Caenorhabditis elegans: one gene and its partners. The protein of the gene in region 1 interacts with the protein of each later gene in a pairwise test. Each region holds a gene or a part of one and is shown in the gene's direction. Other genes may lie near its edges.

Region 1 (4,346 bases):
CGGAATTATTGAAAGAAATGAAATGAGAGTTGCTGAAAAGGATAAACGAGATGCAATTGCTCTCGAATGGCAACAGGTACATTTTTTATAGTTGAGGCGTGTTTTACGATTGGAAAAGCTTCAAAATAAATACATAACAGTTTAGATTTTCGTATTAAAAAAAGATACTCAAACTTTCCGATTCTTGCATTTGTCAACTATATATGATTTATAAAATATAATTTTTAGGTTGCAATGGTGCTCGATCGCTTCCTGCTTGTGGTGTTTCTCATAGGCACATCAATGTCGACATTTGTAATATTGAATCAGCGAAATCTTTTTGAATCTACATAATGACGGGTTAATCAATAAATTCATTTGTATATCTCCCAAACAATATCCAACTGAAAGTAGTTTTAGCTGGTGCTACTGAGCAATTTGAAAAATCGTTCCGAAAAAAGAAGGAAAACCTAGTGATTCAAATTTTGCAGTTGGAAATGATAATCATTTCCATTTTCAATTTTAAAATGATGATCTTTCTAGAAAATTTGAAATATTAATTTGATCGTATGCATTCATTTAGAATTGAATTTTTTAAGAAATAATTTTTACCAAAATTGAAATTGACAGTGTATATTGAAAAGGAAGTAATGAAGAATCATGTCATGAAAGAAGTTCACAAGAGTTCCTGCGAAATCAAGCAGCAGCTAACGCCTTATTTAGTTTGTGGCAGATCTCCGAAACGTCTCGGCAATTCACCAACTTCCCACCAACTAGCAATGATTTACCTAATTTATCCAACTTAAATTGATTGGCATAGCACATAGCAAAAGTCACTAAAGTAGCCCCCCCCCCCCCTCAATAGTTGAGGCATTTTGCCGAGGTCATACCAATTATGAAGTTCCGAACACCAGAAAGAGGTAATGAAACCAAAAGTCGTGATTTTATTTGATATGCTCTCTAGCATAAAAATAATACATTTTGCAGTGCCTACATAATTAAACGGCTCTACATATGTGTTGCATTTATTGAAGCATCTTATATTAGGTCGGCAAATAATTATTGACGTATGTTGCCATTTTACGATTTTTTGTAAATTTTATATATGTGAGTTATAGTAGGCAGTGAGCATATGAAAGCATATGAAGTTCATCTACTTTGGTCATCTGCGTAGTATTAAGATTTGAAAAAATCGAAAATTTAAAAAAAAATTTTTCCGTGATTTTTTGAGTTAGCCGTTAAAAACTTGAATACTCAGAGTTCGCTTTGTCTTTATTTTGTGCTTATGAAATTATCTTAATCTTTTCCTTCTAAAAGGCAACCTCATGACCTCATGTGTTTCATGTTTTTTCAATAAATTCCGATTTTGACACTCCCAAAGTCCATCTACTCTAATTCGATTAAATGGTGATGACAAAGAAACGAAAAGGGAACACTTTTTCATACGTTTCCCTAGATTCACTGAACATTTTGCTTTCCCCTACAGAACTTGAAAGTTTAGCCAACAGATTTCAAAAGATCAAATTTTCGTAAAAATGTGCTTTTTGTGCTCCTCATGATCAGATTCCGTTACTTTTTGATTTAAAACTGAAATCTAAGTGCATTCCTATCCCACGGATTTCCACAGCTCCTCCTCTTTCTTTTTTTCAATACAATTTGATCATTTTTATCTTTATACATACATATTTAATCGCAGGTGGTATGCTGTATGCTCTTCTTCTCCTCTTTGGAGGAGTTTCAACAGGTTTGATAATGTTCAGACTTTTTCAGTTATCCTTTTATTTTCAGTGAGCTCGTTACGAGTTGCTGTTGTTGGAGAAGGCGTCATTGGTTTGAGCACAGCTACAGCAATTCTTGATTTGGCAGAAAAGAGGAACATTCCCGCTCCAGTAAGTTAAATTTGAAAGTCACAGGTGTTCAAAGTTGTGTTTCAGGAAATCCACATTTTCCATCACAAACCTTTTGAAAAAATTCTCAGTCGCCACATCGCTGGTCTCTTCCGAATCGATAGTGGATCAGAGATCGATAGAAAATATGGTTACGATACATTTGAAAAGTTGGCAACTCTCTGGAGAGAATACGGTGGTCTAAGTGGTGTACAACTAGTCTCTGGGCACATATTATCAGATTCCAAGACAAAGTTGGATTCACAACGTGAATCGTATGGAAGCCTCGTGTACAACTACCGGGATCTCGCCGAGCCGGAGCTTTTCGGTCCAACGTCGCTTTTTGATCTACCAAGAAACACGACAACTCGTGGAATTCATTACACTGCTTACACGTCTGAAGGTCTTCGCTTTTGCCCATTTTTGAAAAAAGAATTAATGACAAAAGGAGTTCGATTCACTCAACGGAGAATTGGAAACTTAGAGGAACTTGGTGCAGAATTTGATGTTGTTGTTAATTCAGCTGGACTTCTTGGTGGAGTTCTAGCAGGTGATGATGCAGGGAACATGAAGCCAATTCGTGGAGTGCTCATCCGAGTTGATGCACCATGGCAGAAACATTTCCTCTACAGAGACTTTTCTACAATTACAATTCCGGTGTAAGCTTTGCTTTTCTTATTGTTTTTCAAATTTTTAAGATCTTTCAGTATCGACCATGTCTACATGGGAACTGTGAAACAAGAAGGAGCATTTGGGCCAAACAATGTGACATCTGCAGATATCCAGGATATCACTAGCCGTTATGTGGCATTGCAACCATCTTTCAAGGTGGGTTAAATATTACAAATTAGAAGCTAGAAAATAATTCCAGCGTGTTCACATGCTTTCATCATTCGTTGGATATCGTCCAGGTCGCAAGCAAGTTCGTGTCGAGAAGCAGATTCGAGAGACCAACGGATCCAAGAAGTTTACGGTAATGAAGATTTTGATGCATCTAAAATTCTGATATTCCTTCCAGGTCGTCCATAACTACGGTCATAGTGGAAACGGATTCACACTTGGATACGGTAGTGCAGTTCATGCCGCCCATATCGTTCTCGATTTGCCACTGGATGCTTATCACGGACTTGTCCCAGAACCTCTTCCCATTAATGCAACGATTTCCGAATGGGTTAAATATCTTGATGATTAGGGTAATGGCACTTGTAATTGAAAGTCATAAACAATTTATTCTAATTTTGAATGTTGTCTGTTTATCTTTAGGAAAAAAGTCCAAACACAAATGTTCAAGTTAACAATAAAAATATTTTATTTTATTTTACAGTATTAGACAATATTTAAGGCACTCAATTATTACAATAGTAGGGGAATGTGGTTTTTAAATGGAATTTTTTGAAATTAATTTCTCACTGCTTCCTTCTCATCACTTGAACTCAATGTTTTCGGGATCTCAGTTCGTTTTCGACGTCGTTCACATCTGCAAATATACCAAATTCAAAACTGGTCTACTGTGGATTACTGTACCTTGGACAATTTAAACTTTTCCTTTCGAAGCATTTCTTATGGTAGACTGCAAGACACGTGGCACATGACCGTGTATTTTCAGTAAATGGATATAGGATTTTATTTTTCTGATCTACGTTGATGTCGTCGCAAAGTTCGCAGAAGAATCCATTTCCAGCACAAGTCTCACATTCCTTAATTTTTAAAATTAAAATTTCAATAATAATCTCCAAAAACCAAACACCTCTTCAATATGCTTTCTAAAAACTGTATGGATCTGTTCCAAATCGGGTAACAACGTGCCATCGCACAGCTCACGGAGTTCTTTCGGTGAATACATGACAGAGTTATCGACAAAATGTGAGTGAGCATTGAGGTACTGTAGGATTCGGAGACGTCTTGCCGTACGGCAACTAACAAAGTAACACTTCATCAGAAGAAAGTTTCGACGCAGTTCGTTTACTCGGCGTAGTTCCTGAAAACTGTCAGTTGAAAATGTATATTTCTTCAATTTTATTTGCTGTGGGCAAATATCTGTCACTTGGCACAGCCAATGTTTTAACTGCAACTTCGCGTCATGGCGCCGTTCGGGGGTATAGCTCAGTGGTAGAGCGCTCCCTTAGCATGGGACACAGGTGATTCGCGAGTACGAGTTTTATGCTTCATCCGAGGTTCGCGCGTGCTTCGAATGGGTACTTGAAAACATGAGCAAAAATGGAGAAAAATGCTCGTCTTTGCGAACGAACGCGAGCATAAAGGAGGCATTGCGAAAACAATTTATGCTTCTTTTTTTTCACTTATATCAGCTGAAAAAGTTCAAAATATAACTTCAGTTCTTGTATAAGCCACCCCCACTACCCGAAGACATGATTAAGCCACCTCAAGACATTTTCGCAAACACGAGCATTGTGTGCGTCGAAGCATTTTGCTTACACTGCGAATCACCTGTGGGAGAGGGTTGGGGTTCAATTCCCCATA
Region 2 (5,823 bases), on another chromosome or scaffold:
AGGTTCAAGAGTTTGAGAAATGAACCGCACACATGCACCCTTGTGCATACATTGCGGAGCTCGTCGGCGCAAACTTAAACTCTATTAAAACTCTCACAGGCGCCAAGAATAACTTACTAAATTTCTCTAATTCTCCTTTAGGTTTTCAACTCTGTCTGATTACCAAGTCAATATTGGCAGAGCCAAGAAAAGTTGGAAATCTAAAACAAGACGCACCACAGAGATAGAAAAAAGAGTTTCTATTTTATTCTATGCACTGTTAGTTTGAAAAAAGTTATCCAGACCTATTCTATTTGTTCTACCTACTTACCTGGTAACGAACCTTTTTTCCGCACAATTCCTCTTGGTCATACCACCAAGGTCAATCCTCGTTTTTCCTTCCGCGAGCGGCGATCATCCTTCCGCTCCCGACAGGGTTGACCTCTGCGCGTCTGCGTCTTTCATCCCATTTTTCCTCGCCCGTTCTTTTCTGAGGGAGAGAGGGAGGGAGAGAGAGAGGGAGAGAGAGAGAGGGAGAGAGAGAGAGAGAAAAGACCTTCAATCAGTTTCTGTAGTAGTCCTTCTCCTTGGGATACTGAATACTAGGTCACCATTTCAATCTCTTTTTTTTCTATTTTTTGTGTTTTTTTCTTTCTCTACCCTCTTTATTGTTCTTGTTTTCTGACCGTCACTTCGCTTTGCACCCCGTTTTTGAATTTTAAACTCCTGCTAAAAGTTATAAATACGAATGTGGGAAGATCGGCTCTTTTTGTTTGGATACTGATGAAAAGTCCTATCAGCTTAAAATCATGAATAGTTTAACAGCACCTTCTCAAGCTTGAAAAAAAGTAAATGTGCAAATGCTCTGCTCAAAGCCCCGAGTTGAAACAAAGTTGTTTACAAAATTATCTTGGTTTAGGTTTTTTGTTCAAAATATCAGTAGTGCAATTACACATTGTTTATTCTACATTTTTAGATCCATAATTTTCTAAAACAATATGATAATTCTTTCTGAATCATCTTTTTTTTCAGTTAAAGGCACTTATCGAGAATTCTTCTTCCCCCCATTTATTTTGCATATCTATTGTGCCAACATGAAATTTGCATTTCTTCCCATTTCTCTTCATTTTCCTTTCATCCAAACATCCACGTTTTCTTCCCCATTGTGCAACGTGGTGCACCATGTCACAGAGAGAGATCTAATCTCCATATTTCTTTCATATAGTTTTTCTTGAGCTTTCAGTATCAATGAACTATGCTCCAAATAAATATTGGTCGGCCTAGCACATCTATGGATGGCCTTATCGGAAGGTTTCTCTCACTTATTCTCATGACTCGCCAATTCGACTTTCACTTGTGTTTCTATCTTTTCAAAATGAAATCACACACCTCTACTTTGGTCTTCGTACCGCTTATCAGTTGTTGGGAAGGGTTTTTCTCCAATAAGGAGGGGTTTAGTGACCTTTCAAGCCTTGTTGACAATTAGCCATTATAGCGTCTAGGAAAATCTAGAACTGATAACAAATAACAAAACATCTAAAATCTAGAAACAGGAACATGTTGATCTGAAAATTGAGCAAATTGATGTTTTGTGCAACTGTGATAAGTCAGAAATTTTGATCACTTTTGATAATAGTTATTCCCCCAACAAAACATTTGAAGGTCTCAAAAACAGAGGGAGTCTCCTCATTTTTGCATTTTCGGAGCCAATTTTGAGTTGCCTTCTTCCATTCCAATTCCTTTATTAAGATGCAGATCCGATGCTAATGATATGCACTATCCATACGTCTTGTGGAATATGAATGAGGAGAGGTCGAAGACTCGGAACCCACCTCTTTTTCTTTTTATTTTTTCTCCTGCAGCTTTTCTTTGCCAATTCTTTGTACACAACTATAGTAATACAATGTGCTCAATGCGTCACTCAGTGCTTCGCCCCTTACTGTCTCCTTCTATTCGTCGATTATTCATAGAGTTCTTCGTCATCCAAAAAAAGTGTTACACATCGCTGTAATAGTTCGGACCCACGCATGCTCATGGTTTTGATATTTTCCATTGTTTATTTGAAATAATACAAAAAAATATTCGATTACCCTAATAGTTTACCAAGTCATGGAACAACCCTGTTTGTGTGCAACCAGAGCATCAGCGTTCTGTTATCAGCTGCCGGCTTTTCTTCTTTTATCACTAAAAAACCATGCCTAGTTTTTTCACCTCTCGACCCTATTCGTCTCGGTCAGGAATCTTTCTTATCTCTAGAATTTCTCCCTCTCTTCCATCACGAACTTGAAACGCGCCATTCCTATTCCTCTACCCCATCATTCTTGCAATCATTCCTCTCGTGGAAATGGGCTCGTTCGCTGAGTCGGCTGCTCTTCTGCAGGCATCGATGTCTCTTTCTCCAACACCTTCTATAATTAACAACAATAATACTGTCGATTATTCTCTATCACTCCAGATGCTCGCGGCTCCGAACGCCGTCTCATTGGCCTCTGTCAACGGTTCTGCTTCACTTCTAACTGCAACAACTGCTGGAATGAAGGCGAATAATAATTCAAATGAGAAATTACCAAGACAACAATGTTACCTGTGTGATTTGCCACGCTGGCCGTGGGCAATCATAAATGATTATATTGAGCCAGTTTGCAGAGGATGCGTCAATTATGAAGGATCAGACAGGTTTGTTTGGAAATAATGATGATGAAAATTCCTTTCGATTTTAAAATTTTCCAAAGTGAAAGTCACAAGTTTTCTTATATTGATACAGGACATGAAAATTTGACACCCTTTTTCTTATAAGACTGCAAGCTAAAAGTTTGTTCTGTAATAGATTTCCTAAAGTTTTTAAAGAATTTTTTTTTTGAAAAAAATTAGAAAAAGAACATATTTTTTTGACGATTTTTCTGCCGAAATTTTTTATAAATTGCAGGACTTCACGATCTTATAGTTTTAAAAAGGTTTCAAGACCAATTGAACTTTTTTTGTTTTTTGTCACCAAATATCTTTTTCTGTTTCAGAATTGAACTCGTACTTGAAGAAACACGCCAACAAAAGAAACTCCAAGGAGTTGGAATCAGTGATCCACAGAATGCAAAGACATCCCTCCGAGATATTACACTTACACAACAACAACCCCTTCAAACATTACCAGTCACTTCTGCTAATGGAATCGGAAGGATAAGCCCACAAAGGACACCTCAGCCAACGGTACTTCCCACGTCCCCATTCCATGTGCCAACTATGAACAACTTGGAGGTAAACATATAAAATTGAAAACTGCAATAGTTTACAAATTTATTTTCAGCAAGTTCTGACCCATCAACGACTTCTGCAAATGACACAAGCCAATCCTCGGGCGGTTGACGATCTTATTCAACAGTCTCTTCGAAGCTTGGGCCCAAATTCTCATCTCTTGGCTCCATTCATGATGAGCATGCTTCCAAGCACAACTTATTCAAATCCAAGAAAACGTGAATCTGACGAAGAGCAGAAGCCTGAAATATATGGAAAAGTGCAGAGAGGTATGTCAGTTAGAATTTAAAATTGACATCGTCCCAAAAAACCGGTTGTTGCGTAAAGTAGTAGTGCCCCCTTCTCTCTCTCCGATTAGCCCGTGTATCGTCTCTCTGTCACCCTCTCGAATTGCGTAATACCGATAGACCCGACAGAAAACCAGCCGAATTTAGAAGAATTAGAAGAAAAGAGTAGCGAGTTGAATGAGTGACCTCGAGAGAAATAAAGGGCTAGATATGGGGTCAACACTTTGAAAACGGAACCGGTTTTAGAGGATGGTAGTGTAGTTGGTTGTGGCGTCGTTGTCGGCGCCTGGCACCCAGGGTCATCACCCCCTCATCATCATCATCTTCTATTTTTCAGGCGATGCCCAAACGACAACTGCCTCGCCAACCTCAACTCATTCACCAGACCATCCGGGAGTTAAGGATCGGAGAGGGATCGCCCCAATTGAGAGAGTTTTGAGATGTACACTGTGCAATGAACGTCTAGAAGACACCCACTTTGTACAATGCCCAACAGTCAGCATTCACAAGTTTTGCTTCCCATGCTCGCGGAGCAGCATCAAGGATCAATGCAAGAGCAGTGATATGTACTGCCCATCAGGCGATAAATGTCCATTAGTCGGATCAGCAATGCCATGGGCATTCATGCAAGGAGAAATTGCACAAATCCTCGGTGACGAGTATGACGAGTTCAAGAGAACCCGAGAAGCTCACGGTCTTGCTCCACCGATGGGTGCCAACGCAGCGACTCTCGCCGCGGCAGCCGCGGCAGCTGCACAGGTATGCCCTTATCAGATTGTGTGAAACTAATTTGTTTGTCCAATTTTGTTATTTATGTTTGGAACTAAATCACCCGCATTTTGCATGGTTTTCAGTTGAGACGGAGACAAAATGCTCAAAGAGCCCACCCTCATCGCACTCTTACACGATCCACAATTAACACTTCTACCTCATGTGTAAGTGATTACTAACATATGACATTGACTAGCATGCAAAAAATTGATTATCGGATTCAAATAAATATGTTGCATGCCCCTAACATCTATTATTTAAACTGATTTTTTTCATTTTCTGAATGAATTAATTTTCAGAACGGCGCCAATCAAACATCTCCAGCCTCCACAACAACTTCTGCGGCTTCTTCCACATCTGCCGCCACGTCACCACAAAACTGATAACCTGTGACGTCACGGAGCACATTAGGCACAAATATTTTTTCTTTCAATCTCTCTTTTTTCTCAGTCCCACTGAAACCGTTCAAAGCTGCACTCAATGCTTTTGTCTGCTTCACCACGATCTCTACTTTTTCCCCCTTTCCAAGTTTTCTTTCTCTCTCTCTCTCTTCGGTCCCAACTACGGTGTGATTTCAAGGGACATTTGGTAATAAATCTTGAGATTTTTTTCCTTTCTCATTTCCCTTTTCCTCGATTACGCTTTTCACTGCTTTTGGGATTTACGGTTTCTTTTCTTTTTTCAGTCCAAAAACTTTGTAATGTTCGTACCTTATCCCCAGTCCATTCTCCCCTGGAACATTGAAAATTCAACTGCCAAACAAATCAAAAAACAACAATCCCACCAAAGCTTTCAGTTTATTTTTTCATTAATTGAATAAAGCTTTGATCAGAAAACTTAAGATATAGTTTGAGAAATTGCAAATTTTCACATATTCTCTCACGAATTCCAAGAATTCAATGTGAAAACTCGGTATAAATTCTACAAAACTTCGAATGATTAGAATTAATCAGAAGGATGGAAGGAAGATATTTTAGATCTGTTCACAAAAATAGTTCCAGTCCTCGATTTGGGCTTCAACAATCTGCGACACCATTGCGGATGTATCTCAGTATGGAAATATAGCATGACGCTTCTGTAAATGTTTCCGGAAACTCTTATCAACACGTTCGACCAACGTCCACTCACCCGTCCAGCGCATGAATCGATAGAAAACTGACGGACAGAAAAATGAACTGATACCAAATTGCTGAATTGAGTTTGAAGAGTATTGTGCAATTGATCATGTCGATCAAGTGAAGTGTGTCTTGCAGCACACTCTGAAATATGGAAAAAGGAGATTCCGGTAAAAGTATTCATGTGAAGATGAAAATTGTTTATGTATTTGTTCTCGAGAATAAACAAAAGTTGATAAAGATAACAACGGTCAAGAGTTCACAAATTTCATCAATTTGCAGAAAATCGTGTCATGAAACAAGCAAAGCAGAGAAGTGTGACGAAATTTTGAACTACTTCTATGAATTCAAAGTTTCAAAATAATGTTTGTACTAAGCCGATTTCGACTATTGCGGTCAAATCACTCAATTCTTGAAACAAT
Region 3 (5,257 bases), on another chromosome or scaffold:
ACGACGATTGTCTCAAGAAAAAGTGTCACTTGCGAAGACGTGTAAGACGATAACATCAAGTGTTGAAAGCTAGATGTTGAAATAAGGTCATTCAATTTTCATTTTCAATTTGATGAAACCTGAATTTTTCTTGGAATTTCCTACAAAAAATTTGATGATTTGTGGTTTCTTATAATTACTACCTGAAAAGTCCCAGTTGTCTATTGTATATACATGCCAAACTTTTGCTTTTTTGAGCTTTTTTTTCAACCCAGACTTCACAAATACTTAACATTTGGTATGTTGGTAACTTTTTTGTCATAACACATTTTTCGAACTTTGTTGTATTTTTTGTCAAAAAATGAGTTCCGTATTTTTTCTATTAGTTTTGCAGCCTCTAATAGTGTTGCAGTCTTTATTAGTCTTTCACCTCTACGGGTCAATCCAAAATTTGTCTTACAAGCAAGATTGATTCAGGAAACACGGTAATTCTTTCTACAATTGTTCTGGCACTATATAATATGTTCTAGTAAGGTTATTTACAAGTTACAGCTCATAATATTACTAACAATTTGTTTTCCCTTTTGCACAAATACATTTTAATTGTCAGATCAACTTTAGGTATCCATATTTCTTAAATTACCAAAGAGTAGTTGAAAAAAAAGAAGCTAGAGCATATGACGGTCATTTTTGTCTGCAAGAACATTTGAACCAGCAAGCCCGTCTCACCCAATGCGGTGATAGTGTCAGGTGGTAGATTTGTATCGAGTGCTCCACAGAAGAGCAGCAGCTAAAGAGCATAGGGGTAGAAAAAGAAGAACGTATGTGTGTGTGTGTGCTTCGCCAGAATTGTGATACGTAGAGACAAGACGACGGAGATTGGTTGATGAGACGAAGAGAGAAACTCGGGACCCGTTGCTATCTTCTTTATCTTTAGACCGAAACTTTGAAGATGAAGAAGATGAAGCGTCCGGAAATATAACACACTAATAACCCTTCGTTTTATCATTTTTGACTCAAAATCATACTGATTAGCATCAATCGTTCAACCAGTTCTTTCTCATCCTTAACCATCCATGAAAATCCTGACACCTGTTGTGCCTAGAATTTGGTTTCAAATGGCTTGTACTTTCTCTCCTCCTTAACAACAGCAGCTGTCCACTGCGTTAGAAAACCGGAAACCCGGCACGGATCCGTGTTGGCTGCTGCCCCTGAAGAGCTTGGTTATCTTTTTTGCTAGGTGTCACAAGTGTTGATGAATTTTTGGAACCAACCTGAGCTTTTTTTCTTTTTGCGTTTTTTGTTCTACCCAGTCGAGTGATAAACGTTAATTGTATGTGTTCTAAAAAACAACACATTTTCCGAGAAAATTATGTGAAATTTGTGTATATTTAATCAAAAGTTTAGAAGCATAAAGAATATAATATAAAATATAAATTGCTTTATTTTATTTTTAGTTTTGGTTTTTTGTGTAGAATTATACGACCCTTTTTAAATTTTATGATAAATTTCTAATAATCCAGATAAATTTTGCTCTGGAACCATATTAAATTTGAGTGTATGGCTTCAAAACCTTCTTTTTTTAATTTCAAAAATAGAGTTTCCACTTAAAAGTTACAACATCAGAAACTCACTTCCTCACAACGTTTATCTTCAAATATCACGAAACGAGGTACATATATATCTAAAATCTTAATCATAATCTTCAGTTTTATCCTAAAACTCTCGAACAAGATGTTTCTGGCCACATGATTTTTTAACACATGTCTGAAGATTCTTGGTTGTTGGCTCCTAACAACGCCTGCCTTCCTATGTCATTGCTCAATTTTTGACAACTTCCAAACAGAACCCATATTTACTCCTTCAGTCACACGACAATTTAACTGATTTTCCTGATTGCCCCCTTTTCGTCCCGCTTTCCTAACTAAAAGCCGTCACTTCTCATTTGCCAACACAAATTGACATGATGTTTGCATGTAAATAATCGAACCGATCTATAAGCAAAGCGTGTGTTTATAACATGTATTTTTCCTCAAACACCACACGTTTACCTTTTATTCTCATGACTTCCGGTTGCCATTTTCAGGAAGGATAACGAGGACAACAAAAACTGGTAAAAACATTTGAAAAGCAACGTATTCATTTAAAGTGATGTAAAAAATGGAAGGCATCGAGGAATCATTTGCACCTTTATCTCCCAAAAGCCCATTTGCACGCAGAAACGGAAGAAGGTAGATTTTTCGAAATTTTTTAGATTTTCAAACTTTAAAAAATTTAATGATTTAGGTTTGCCAGAATCCTAATGCACTCAAATTTAACATTTCGTTTTCAAAATACTTATCTTTGCTTGCGCAAAAGATATTTTGAATAAAGATTTGAGGTCTGGAATTAACCATTTGAGCTAATCGGAAAAGAATTAAGAGAAAAACGGGCGAAACCCGACATTTAGATTCATCCAACTTGTTTCAAAAGCTTTCAAAAAAAGTATAATAATTTTTTAAGCACCGTGTTAATGATGCAGGGTGGCCTATAATTGTGGGCCATCGTGTAACGTAATTTCCCTTCTGTTGTGGAACTTTTTTTCAAAGTATATTTGAAACATAAATTTAATTTTATGTAGACAACTTCAATTTTACTGTAAAAACAACAATTCACATCATATGCATAAGAAATTGTTAAAAGAAGAGTAACAGTTTGGTTTGTTTTTTCTTCGTGCTACAACTGATTCTACAATCTGCTTAAAATAAATATTTTTACCAAGACGTCTTGAAGCAATTCTAAGAGTTGCAATACAGACCTGTCTTGTATTTTTGTTCTTGAAAAATAACTATGTGAAAGGTCTAAAATTCTCCAGTTTTACTAAAAACGTTTCGAAACATTGAATTGCTTCCAACAACCTTTTGATAAATGTCCTTCCATAAATCTAACCAGTGGCCCACATTTTGCAATTTGATTTTTCTGCAATCACTCTCTGGTCCATCTCTTTCTCCCCTTTCATCCCAATCAAAATTGAATGTTTCATCGCTTATCCGCTTGTCTACCGCCACGACCGGCGAGTGCAGCTAGCGTACGATGTAGTGAGCGTGGGATTACACACTCACCAACAGAACCTTGAGGAGAGACCTCTCGGCTCCTATCTATTCCATCTCAATATTTCATGTAATTGATTGAATGACTTTATTTTGGACTTTATCTATTCACTGACTACTTGCAAAGATGGATCCAGAAATACCAGGGTACAAAATATGTTGAATTTGTAGTAGAATGTTTATAAATCAAAAAATTCACTTACGGTCTCCCTCATTATATCCATTTATTTGCAAAAAATTTAGTTAGGTGAATTTAGAAAAAGGTGGTTTTTGTGTTTATCGGTTGCCCAGATAAAACAGTGCAATAAAATTGGAAAAATAATGAAGTGTATTGTTGTACATAAAAAATTTACTATTGGTTACAGTGCAACATCGAGTACTGTGAGTTTTTGAAAAATATTGATATCAAAAATTTATTTTTTTTACCGTTACAACAAGAATGGCAGGCGTTCGGCAATTCGCATCAAATTATCCACCAATTTTAGCAATTCAAGCAGTTTTCAACGAGATGCACATTTTTCAGAATCAGTGCCCCGGTGGCCGAGCGGTCGAAGGCGTGAGACTTATGATCTCATTGGGTTAAACCAGTCGCGGGTTCGAATCCCGCCCGGGGCAATATCCTTTTTTTACTATTAAATCAAGTTTTACCAAAGAATAACCATTAAAAGAAAAATAATTCGAACTGTACATTAAATAATTGTAACTACTTCAGCCCTTTTTAACCAAGTTTAGGCCACTATAGAAACATTTTCAGTGCAAAGTTTTCAGCGCATCCCCAACTTTAATTTATTTTACCCAACTTTAGCCAGTTTTTCACTAAATGCATTCCTAAAGCTGATAAGGTTGGTAGATATGTTGCGGCGTTCTTTCAAGAAAATATCTTTACATTTCTTCACCACAAACATTTTAATTGGAATATTAATGTTTTAGTATCAACTTTGTGAGTTGAAAAATTTTTGAAAGAAGCAAATTTTGCTAGCTGGAAATAATTCATATACTACTTCACTGTTTATTTCGTTGAATATCAACAATTTATTGTGTTTCAGTCTTCGCATTCAACGACTAGTCGACTGTCAACACTTCCATTATTCGTCTGTTGAATTGGGTCCCGTCCGTGTTGCCATCATCGCAATAAACGCTGACGAGAATGCAACAGAGCGGATAAAAATGCGTGTGGAAAGTGAATCAAATTCATGGTGAGTTGGTCATTCCTTCTGTTTCCAATTTGTCTTCAAAAATTCGTGCTCCGTGGTGTTTCTCTCGGTTTTTCTTTCAATGTTCTGCCACACAGAAATCAAACAAAAAAGCCACGAGTGAAGTCTCATGGGAGATGAGAATAAAGGCTGAATAAAGTTAGTACGAGGAAGAACAAAAAAGAAAAAAGAAAGAAAAACGGAAACTTGAAAGGTTTTCCATCATTGATTCATTCAGGCTTGTCGAACGTTCTCGGGAGGATTGGGCAGTCTTCGACAGACAGCTGCATCGTTGTGTGTTCGAACGAAGGCATTCACGACTTGACGAGCTGTTTCCTCTTATTCATCTGGAAACGGCAAAGTTCGAGGTGACGGCTTCTTTTCAAAATCACTAGTCATCACATTTGATGTTTACAGGAAGTTCTTGTCAAGTATACGGAGCGATTATCGGAACTCACTGGCAGCATTATAACGTGCTATCCTGTTCTGAAATTTTTAGAAGTAAGCGAAATTGTTTTTAACTCCAAACTTCAATTTAATTTAAATTTAAAACTGGCTATGGTTTAGACTTTTTACAGTATCTCTTCAAATTAGAAAAGTTAAATTAAAAAAGATTCGAATAAACCAAATGAACCCAAGACGATAAATATTTCATTTCAAGTATTGCAAACATTTCAGATAGGAAAATTTGTTTTCCTTTCTGACAGAATAGTAAGTCTGTATTTCAAAGAGTTATTCAATTATTTGAACCTTTCTCACAAAATTGGTGAGTTCTAGTACAACCTTGAAAAAATATCTTGTTCTTCTTATGATTTTGACACCACTCGCTCTTAACTGCAGTGCATATTTCATTTCTGTGTTTGTTTTTATTGCAAAACATATGTACAATGTAATGCACACCTACATTATGCATTAGTATCAGGACTTCGTCAAACAAGTTTTTTTTTCATTCTTTTTGCATTTGTTTCAGTCAGTTCTGAAACTGTTCTCTCAAAC

What was found. Proteins that work in one complex are often made in the same cells at the same time.
Region 2: the proteins of ddo-3 (region 1) and ifbp-1 interact in a two-hybrid assay, tested with the Caenorhabditis elegans proteins (one large-scale study listed by BioGRID).
Region 3: the proteins of ddo-3 (region 1) and rrc-1 interact in a two-hybrid assay, tested with the Caenorhabditis elegans proteins (one large-scale study listed by BioGRID).

The regions. Positions count from the first base shown.
Region 1 is NC_003281.10:6,586,217-6,590,562, forward strand, and holds ddo-3 (D-aspartate oxidase 3), read left to right. Parts: upstream 1-1,647; 5' UTR 1,648-1,680; coding exon 1,681-1,723; intron 1,724-1,767; coding exon 1,768-1,868; intron 1,869-1,913; coding exon 1,914-2,524; intron 2,525-2,572; coding exon 2,573-2,693; intron 2,694-2,736; coding exon 2,737-2,838; intron 2,839-2,883; coding exon 2,884-3,057; 3' UTR 3,058-3,182; downstream 3,183-4,346. Other genes in the region: acr-21 (AcetylCholine Receptor), read left to right, coding at 1-76, 229-333; F20H11.1 (Differentially expressed in FDCP 8 homolog), read right to left, coding at 3,264-3,342, 3,390-3,562, 3,613-3,843. UniProt on the Caenorhabditis elegans protein: Selectively catalyzes the oxidative deamination of acidic amino acids. Plays a role in the egg-laying events and maturation processes of the reproductive organs.
Region 2 is NC_003283.11:13,369,399-13,375,221, reverse strand, and holds ifbp-1 (Interferon regulatory factor 2-binding protein 1 & 2 zinc finger domain-containing protein), read left to right. Parts: upstream 1-2,201; 5' UTR 2,202-2,323; coding exon 2,324-2,655; intron 2,656-2,993; coding exon 2,994-3,231; intron 3,232-3,280; coding exon 3,281-3,497; intron 3,498-3,852; coding exon 3,853-4,274; intron 4,275-4,369; coding exon 4,370-4,450; intron 4,451-4,585; coding exon 4,586-4,669; 3' UTR 4,670-5,127; downstream 5,128-5,823. Other genes in the region: srx-125 (7TM GPCR serpentine receptor class x (Srx) domain-containing protein), read right to left, coding at 5,232-5,361, 5,415-5,545.
Region 3 is NC_003284.9:9,828,093-9,833,349, reverse strand, and holds the start of rrc-1 (GTPase-activating protein rrc-1), read left to right. Parts: upstream 1-2,061; 5' UTR 2,062-2,139; coding exon 2,140-2,210; intron 2,211-3,046; exon of another isoform or gene 3,047-3,195; coding exon of another isoform or gene 3,196-3,215; intron 3,216-3,598; exon of another isoform or gene 3,599-3,683; intron 3,684-4,114; coding exon 4,115-4,264; intron 4,265-4,499; coding exon 4,500-4,629; intron 4,630-4,678; coding exon 4,679-4,762; intron 4,763-5,257. UniProt on the Caenorhabditis elegans protein: Functions as a GTPase-activating protein (GAP) for ced-10/rac-1 and CDC42.